Linked DNA regions of Nothobranchius furzeri. The protein of the gene in region 1 interacts with the protein of each later gene in a pairwise test. Links are inferred from orthologs where the notes say so. Each region holds a gene or a part of one and is shown on either strand. Other genes may lie near its edges.

Region 1 (3,826 bases):
CTGTGCAGCAGATGTTCGGTCTCACCGGAGCACTCAAAGCCGTTGCCTCTGAAGCCAGACTTGCACCTGCACTTGTAGGATCCCTGAGTGTTCAGACAAACGGCGTGGTGGCTGCACTTGTGGGTTCCAGCTGCACACTCATCCACATCTGTAAAACAACCCTATTGGTAACTACAGAAGACAAAGTTGTATGTTTCACCTTGAAAACCTTGTAGACTTCACCTTGACAGTCGTATTTGCCGTTTAGATATTTCAGATCGTAGCCGTCTTGGCACTTGCAGTAGTAGCTGCCGAAGGTGTTCACACATTTTCTGTTGTATGGGCAGAGGTTCTTCCCAGTTATGCATTCATCAATATCTGAAATGAAGCAAACCGTGGCCGAAAAGTTAGTTATTTACCTGTAAACTTATACACTCAGTAATTTGTCTACTGTGAGTTTCAGTATTTCACGTTGGCAGAATGAGAAGAAATATGATATACAATAAAATCAGAAACAATTTATTGTCCTTTAAAACGTGCACTAGAGACACAGAGTGGTGTTTTTGTCATTTCTGTACATTAGTTTTGTTGTAACTCACATTTTCCTGGAGACATGTAGCACATTGTGCACAGCAGTACCCCTGAACTAAAGCATAAACACAATTTTAATGACCACCTTAAACATTTCATCAGAGAAAGCAGAAGTCCTACTTAATATTTGATATTCACGGACACGTTTCATTCTTTTTGTTAAAACCTATCAATAAATGACTTTATTATTATAAAAAAATTGTTTTTGTTGTTTTCATATTTTATGCCTAATGTGAGTTTAACCAGCCCTGTGATGGACTGGCTCTCTGTCCAGGGTGTATCCCGCCTACTTGCCCATTGACTGCTGGAGATAGGCACCAGCCCCCCCCCCCCCCCCCCCGCGACCCTGCGTGGACGAAGCGGGTTCAGAAGATGGATGGATGGTGAGTTTAACCAGGCCCACTATATACCCTCATATATAACTGATTTGGTGTAAATCTACACTTCCAAACGCTGCCTGAGATCAGAAGGTCGGATGTTCCTGATGGTTCCAAAAAAAATGCAGAAAACTTGTCCAAACAAAAAGTTTACAATCAAGAGACTTGTGGAGGTTTAATCGGGGACATTTTCTGCACTTGTTCTACAAACGTGTTTTTTCTGAACAAACTGGGATGACCTAACTCAAGCTCACATCTCTGTGATGCTGCAGGAAGACCTGCTGTCTGTGTGCTCCTGGCATTCCAATGAAGTCATCCATCTACAAAATGGAAGCTTTACGATATACTATACCATTCTTTATTTGTATAGCACTTTTAAAACGTGGTTGACCAAAGTGCTTTGCAGCACAAATACAAAATGTTAAATAAAAACAATAAAAGCAAAAAAGAATCAAATGTAAAACTGTCGATAACTGAACTAAACACCAGTGAGTAAAAGTACGTTTCAGACGCAATTTAGTGACAACCAGCAACAGCTGGTCAGCTGACCGAGAGGGGACTTGAGGCAAACTGGAAAAGTAAACAGGTGCCAAATCATTTAATGACTTAAAGGGGTGGTTCACTTGTTTAATCAATACATTTGCAGTGGCCTCTAGTAGGAATGAATGTCAGTCAAACAAACTCTAAAATGTAACGAGGCAGGACTGGAGTGGTATGCTCAAACGTTCTTTTCCTGCAGCGTTTTGCATCCTCGTGATCGTAAACAATTCCTGAAAGACTTTCTTTTCCCCGAGAATAATTATTGATGGGATGTGTATGCAGTATGGTACACTAATTAGTTGTTTAATGTGCATTGTGAGAATCAGTGACCATGCCAAAGAAGGTTTATACAGTATTACTATTATTATGGCTTTGGAGGATGAAAAAGTGCAAGTGGTCCTCGTGGTCTTCTGGACAAGATCTTTATACTCAATGTTTATTTTCTTTAAATGAAATCAGAACTTGAACTCAACATGTGGCCTCAAAGAGTTCTAATGGTGGCTGAAAATTGAAGTAGGCCTGCAGTCATTGTTTATTTTTATTTTTTTCAGTTCGATGCTGAGCAGACACTCTAGATTGAACTAAGATTGAAATTTTCTGTAAACAGTCAGCCTGCATCTGTCTCATTAGGGTTATCTTTTCTCTCTGCAGCACATCTGGACTTCGTTATTTTTTGGTATTTTTGAAACCAAATGTTGATGATGATCTTCTCAGAGGCCGTCGTGAAATATGATCTGTTGATCTAGTGTGTTACTACCCCCCCCCCCCCCCCCCCCCCCCCCCCCACCAATGATGGTTTGGCTCAGCTTGAGCAGTTTTTGCGGCAGGAAATAAAACCTAACAGCATCCGTGACTAACAAGCCTTGGAGGCTAACGCTACAACCTTTTATAGTTCATGTTCGTTCTCGTTTTTTTTTTTTTTTTTTCTTTAAATCAGAGCAGTTTGATCATGATGGTCGGGTTTGTAATTGTGCTTGACACGTTGAGCTCACCTACGCATGTTCTTTCGTCTTGACCCAGTTGGAGACCTGCAGACGGGCAAAGGCAGCGGATTTCCCCTTCCACTTCCTCACAGCCGTACTGACAGTGAGCCAGGGAGCAGGTCCTGGAATCTGCACGCACAAACCTTATTTATTAAACCACTTCTGCTTTTTTATTAGAGTAAAGTGCTGCACAAAAGAGACGTACTGGCACATGACCCATCAGGCATCAACATGTATCCATTGAGGCAGTAGCACATGTAACTTCCGTGGGTGTTCATGCAGCGATGCTCGCAAGGACGAGGCTTCAGGCCGCACTCGTTCAGATCTGGAAATAAACAGAATCACTTCCTTAATTCAAGGCAAGTGTTGGATTAAATACAGTAATGCAAAATAAGATTCTGATCTCCCTCTAACCCTTGTTTCCCTCCTCGCTGATCCCTTTCACCCACCTTGATTACACGTCTTTCCGGTGTATCCAGGGAAACACTTGCATTTGTTGGGGCCGACACACTCACCGTGCTTGCAGCCGTGCTCGCACTGAGCTGGTAAAACATTCAACATGAAGAAAAGTACCACCAGAATTATTAGTGGTGGAGACTGATGGACCACATTCAAACCACACATTTCTATTATTCAGGCATTTCCTCCAAATCTGGGAAACCTGATGAAAAACATAAGAACGTGCCGGGTTTCCAGACAGAACCTTCAGATTTGTCTCTGTAACTATTTTCAATAGGTCAAAAAGTCTTTTAGAAGATAAAAGCGTGGGGAAAAAAAAACAGTAAATTAGGTCATTTCTTACCCTCACACTGCCCTTTATTGTTTTTCTTCCAGCCATAGCAGCACTCCAGTCTCCTCCCGTAGCGGCACACACCTTGTTGGTTTCCAGAAAGAACTTGTCGGTAATGTCTATACCAGACAGAAAAATAGGTCCAGTCATTCATTTTACTTATTATTCTCTCTTTTTAGAGGATTGATCATGCAATTAAAAACTGGATTTATATAAAATAAGAAAACTCATTCTCATTTACAACAATGATCTGGCCAACAGGCAGCAGCAACCGACACAAATTATTAGCTTTACATCAAAGAAAAACAGATAAGATAAAAAGGAACAAGATCAAATGAGATAAAGCAGTTAGACAAAAAGACAATGGACTGTTCTCATATACAATATGTACAGTACAAGCAATCAAAACAGACTTAAAAAATCTTAAGAAGCAGGCACAGTGATCAGAAATTGTTGATTGCAAAGAATTATTGAAGGTAGATAATGTAGAATGTAGGTAGTGAGATTCAGTGAGTTTTGCTGCTTATTCCATTTGTTGGAAGCAGCAAACTGGAATGAGGAGTGAC
Region 2 (3,926 bases), on another chromosome or scaffold:
CCCCATGACGCAAACTCCCACTAGCGTGCTCATCTAAAAATAGCCCCCTTTCACAACCAACTGAATGTGTACGGTTCCGCTTACGCCAACATCGTACACAAAACTTGCTGAACACTAACTAGAAATTCACGAAAATTTTATAGAAATAAAAGAATCTTGTTTATTGGGTCTTTGGTAATTTAAGACCTTTGGAAACTGTATTTAAGGATTATTTGTCATTTTTAAGGATTTTTAAGGCCTTAAGTTTGAAAAAGCAAATTTAAGACTTTTTAAGGACCCGCGGATACCCTTTCCTGGTCACTCGCTTGTCCAACAACACTTAAAACTATTGAAAACATTTATAAAAGAAGTTTAAAATTACTTGACAAAAAACCGACTTCCCACCACCATTGTCATGTGTTAAAAAAACATAAATGACAACTTCAATAACTTAATGAAACTTAAAAGAGTCTGTTTAACACTCCCTTGCTCCACCACCACTAAAGCAGTTCATTAGGCATAAAGAAAGCTCAAACAGGACCACACGAGCAACAATTCGAGGAGAATTGTTTATACCACATAGACGGACAGCTTTTGGGCAGAACGTCCTCTCTGTCAAGGGTGGCCGTCTGTGGAACAGTCTTCCTCAACCCGTTAGAGAATGCTCGACTTTCAGTTTGTGTAAGGCAAAGATTAAAAACTGGTTATGGACAAATCAAGTGTGTGATCATGTATGAGTTGTATAGTTTTAATGTTTTATTTGTGAATAGAATGGTGTGTATGTGTAAGTTTGGTGATGGAGTTTTTATTATGAATGAATGATGAATTTTTATGAATTATTATGTCTTTTTCTGTCTGAGGACAACAGATGGAACTTAGCCTTTGGCTATAATCTGGCATGTTTACATTCACGTACGCTGCTTTTACATTGATGTTCATTAACATGCACTGTCCTAAATAAATAAAATAAAATGTAAGAAGAAGAAGAAGGAGGAGGAGGTTCTATGAGCATCCAGGTGTCTGAAGCTGACGGACTACAGGAAGGTATGAGGAATGACAAGTTTATCCGTTCCAACTTATCCTGGAAACCCGGATCCAAACAGGAGGAATGTTATTCTCCTACGGGTCTGGAGCAGCACAACCAGAAGAAAGGATGAGACTAGATGATTCTGAGTGAAGAAGACGTTATGTTTGTCTCCATCGTCATCATCAGCAAAACAAAAAGAACCAATGAGGTCTAGTCAGGTTCGGTGTTCATGCCTGTTTGTAAAACCACAACAAGCAGATGGTTTGTTTAGAGAAAAGGAATAGAAGGTCCAGTCTGGATGAAGGAGGGATGATGGAAGGAGGACGAGATGCACTAATGAACGGAGAGCTTTAAAAACAAGAAAAGGTGAAAGGGGTGGAGAGATGAGAGGATGAAGATAAAACAAGCAGCTTGAAGAATTTAATGTTTAGAAACGGGAGGATGAGAGGAAAAAATGAGCAGGATGACGATAATTAAGAGTTGGATGGAAGCAGATGAGAGGGATAGAGTTTATTAATATTCTGCAAATGACCACAAGATGAAATGATGCTACGGAGGGGTGGAGGGTAAACAAGAAGAGGATGAAGGCGATGGAGGGATGAACAAATGCATGAATAAAAGGGACAGAAAGAGGATTGGTTGGAAAGAAGATCATAATGGTGTGACGATGGAGGGATGAGTCTTGGAGTAGAGGGGGTGATGAACAATAGAGGTATGGATGAACGATGAATGAATGAAGGAGGGATGCATGAAAAGAGCCATAATAAGGATGGAGGGATGCAGGACGGGTTGTGGAGGAGGATGGAGATGATCAGAGCCTGTTGTCTGAGGGATGGAGGGAATTCCCTGTTGCTCACAGCAGCAGCCAATCAGCTGATGAAGTGTTACATAACATCACTTTAGAGGTTCACCCCGATTGTATCTCCAAATATCGCGAGAAAAAACACGAAGTCCAAATATTTCATCTCTTCAACCAATTAGACTCGAAATGTCCAAAACCAGCCAAAATAAATCAGTAAAACCAAAAATATCAACGTGAAGTATCACAAAAAACAGCCTGGAGCTGAGAATTCACCAAACAGTCCAAATAAAAACGACCCGGTAACATTTTCAGACGTGTTGGTGCTAACGAAGCACAGAAAACACGATGTTTATCCTCAGAGAAGCTCCGATTTACATGCATTTATTCACTCTCCCCGCATGTTTTGTTTTTGTTCAAAACAACCACAAACAAAGAGCAAAGGGGCAACAGCTGAAGCCCCGGGTCTCACCTGGGTGGCTTTATGGAACTGCTTCTTCAAGCCCGCGACAGACATCTCCTCTCCGGTGAAAAACAACCAACACGCTTCGGATAAACAGCTGGTTTAATCTGGACCGAACCGGAGTCCTGGAGCCGGCCGACCCTCCCGTTTACGGCGGACAGAGTCCGTTTATCGGTGTGGAAGAGGAGAGGAAAAGAGCGGAACCAGACCCAGCTGGACGCGTCCTCGGAGCGGAGAGAAAAGAGCTGCACGCAGATCCTCCAACTGGCAGATGGCTCACGCGGGCGGGAGTCATGGCAACGGGAACAGAAAGTACAGAAACCTGAAAATTGTATTTATGAAGGATCAGAAACATGATCAGCTGTGTACGGAAGCCTGCTGTGTTCACCTAAAAGTAAAAAATCTTTTTTATTTTTCCCTGAATTAACTACAAGTTTATTTACCACAAAATATAATTTTAAGTAGAGTGCTTTATTATTTTCTGTCATTGTAGAGTACTGAGATGAATTTTATTTAATTATTTACTATAGTTTTATTTCTAGTTGATTATGTGTTATTAATGGCTTTGCGTGTTTTATATGATTATATTTAGCACAGTTTTATTATTTAATAATATTATAATTTTTATTTATTATTTATTTTCTTACTTTTGTCATTTTTATTAGCTCTTTTATTTTCATATTTTTACTCATTTTAATCCTGTGTTTTCTCTGTAGGGGCCCTCTGCCCCGGGGCGGTGGTCGACTGTTGCTTCGTGAGCGCTCTACAGGTAAAGCTGAGGTGGAGGTGGGGGTCTGTGCTCCCCCTCCTCTGAGCGCCCTTTTAGTGTGGAAAACCTGTTACTGATGATGACTGATGGCGTTTCCTTGCCTTACCTTACTTGGCTCATCTGGACTCAGCCAAATATGAATTTTTACTGATGTGTGTGTGTGTGTGTGTGTGTGTGTGTGTGTGTGTGTGTGTGTGTGTGTGTGTGTGTGTGTGCCTGTTAATGTTTTTAAACTGGAAATTTGGGGTCATTTTTATTCTGTAAAGCACTTTGAGTCGCACTTTGCTTGAAAAGCACTTTATAAATAAAATCTGATTGATTGATGACACCTTCCAGCTCTTCCTCTGATGTTCCAAGGTGTTCCCACCAGACCACAGATATCTCATATAAAACTTTGTTAGCTGTAATTTTCTCCTTTTACATTTAAAAATGACAGACTATGTTTACTCTTTTTTTCTCAAAAGTATTTATTCAGTCTTTAAAATCTATCTTTGATTTAGAGCCTCCATCTTTCCCTCACACACGATCTTCCGCAGGGCGGGAACTGGCTGCGTTCTTCTGTCACGTGGTCTCTCCACCCTCCAGCATCCACGAGCAACCCCACGCGCGACGCGTTCGTGTCTGCCGCTGCTTTTATACACAAACAAACAAACAAACACAAAAACCCAGATCTATGTGGTCACGTGACCGAAGGTTACGCCTTCACGTGCAGAAAAAAGCTTTAAAATATCAGGAGAGAAGACGTTTGAGGTTTCAGCACCACGGACAGCGCATCAGGGGTCCGATGGGACGTTCACGAGTAGCTGGGAATTGTCACGAGATTTTATACAACAGTGTTATCTTAATCACTGGAGGAAATTCTTTATTTATGTTTGAATTTCTGTACATT

The links.
Region 2: the proteins of egfl6 (region 1) and endophilin-A1 interact in a two-hybrid assay, tested with the Homo sapiens proteins (2 studies listed by BioGRID and IntAct). The link is inferred for Nothobranchius furzeri from reciprocal best matches to the Homo sapiens genes EGFL6 and SH3GL2.

Annotation. Positions count from the first base shown.
Region 1 is NC_091754.1:23,199,072-23,202,897, reverse strand, and holds part of egfl6 (epidermal growth factor-like protein 6), read right to left. Parts: intron 3,380-3,826; coding exon 3,273-3,379; intron 3,013-3,272; coding exon 2,920-3,012; intron 2,796-2,919; coding exon 2,676-2,795; intron 2,600-2,675; coding exon 2,480-2,599; intron 358-2,479; coding exon 223-357; intron 149-222; coding exon 26-148; intron 1-25.
Region 2 is NC_091742.1:89,754,700-89,758,625, forward strand, and holds the start of endophilin-A1, read right to left. Parts: upstream 2,557-3,926; 5' UTR 2,323-2,556; coding exon 2,278-2,322; intron 1-2,277. UniProt on the Homo sapiens protein: Implicated in synaptic vesicle endocytosis. May recruit other proteins to membranes with high curvature. Required for BDNF-dependent dendrite outgrowth.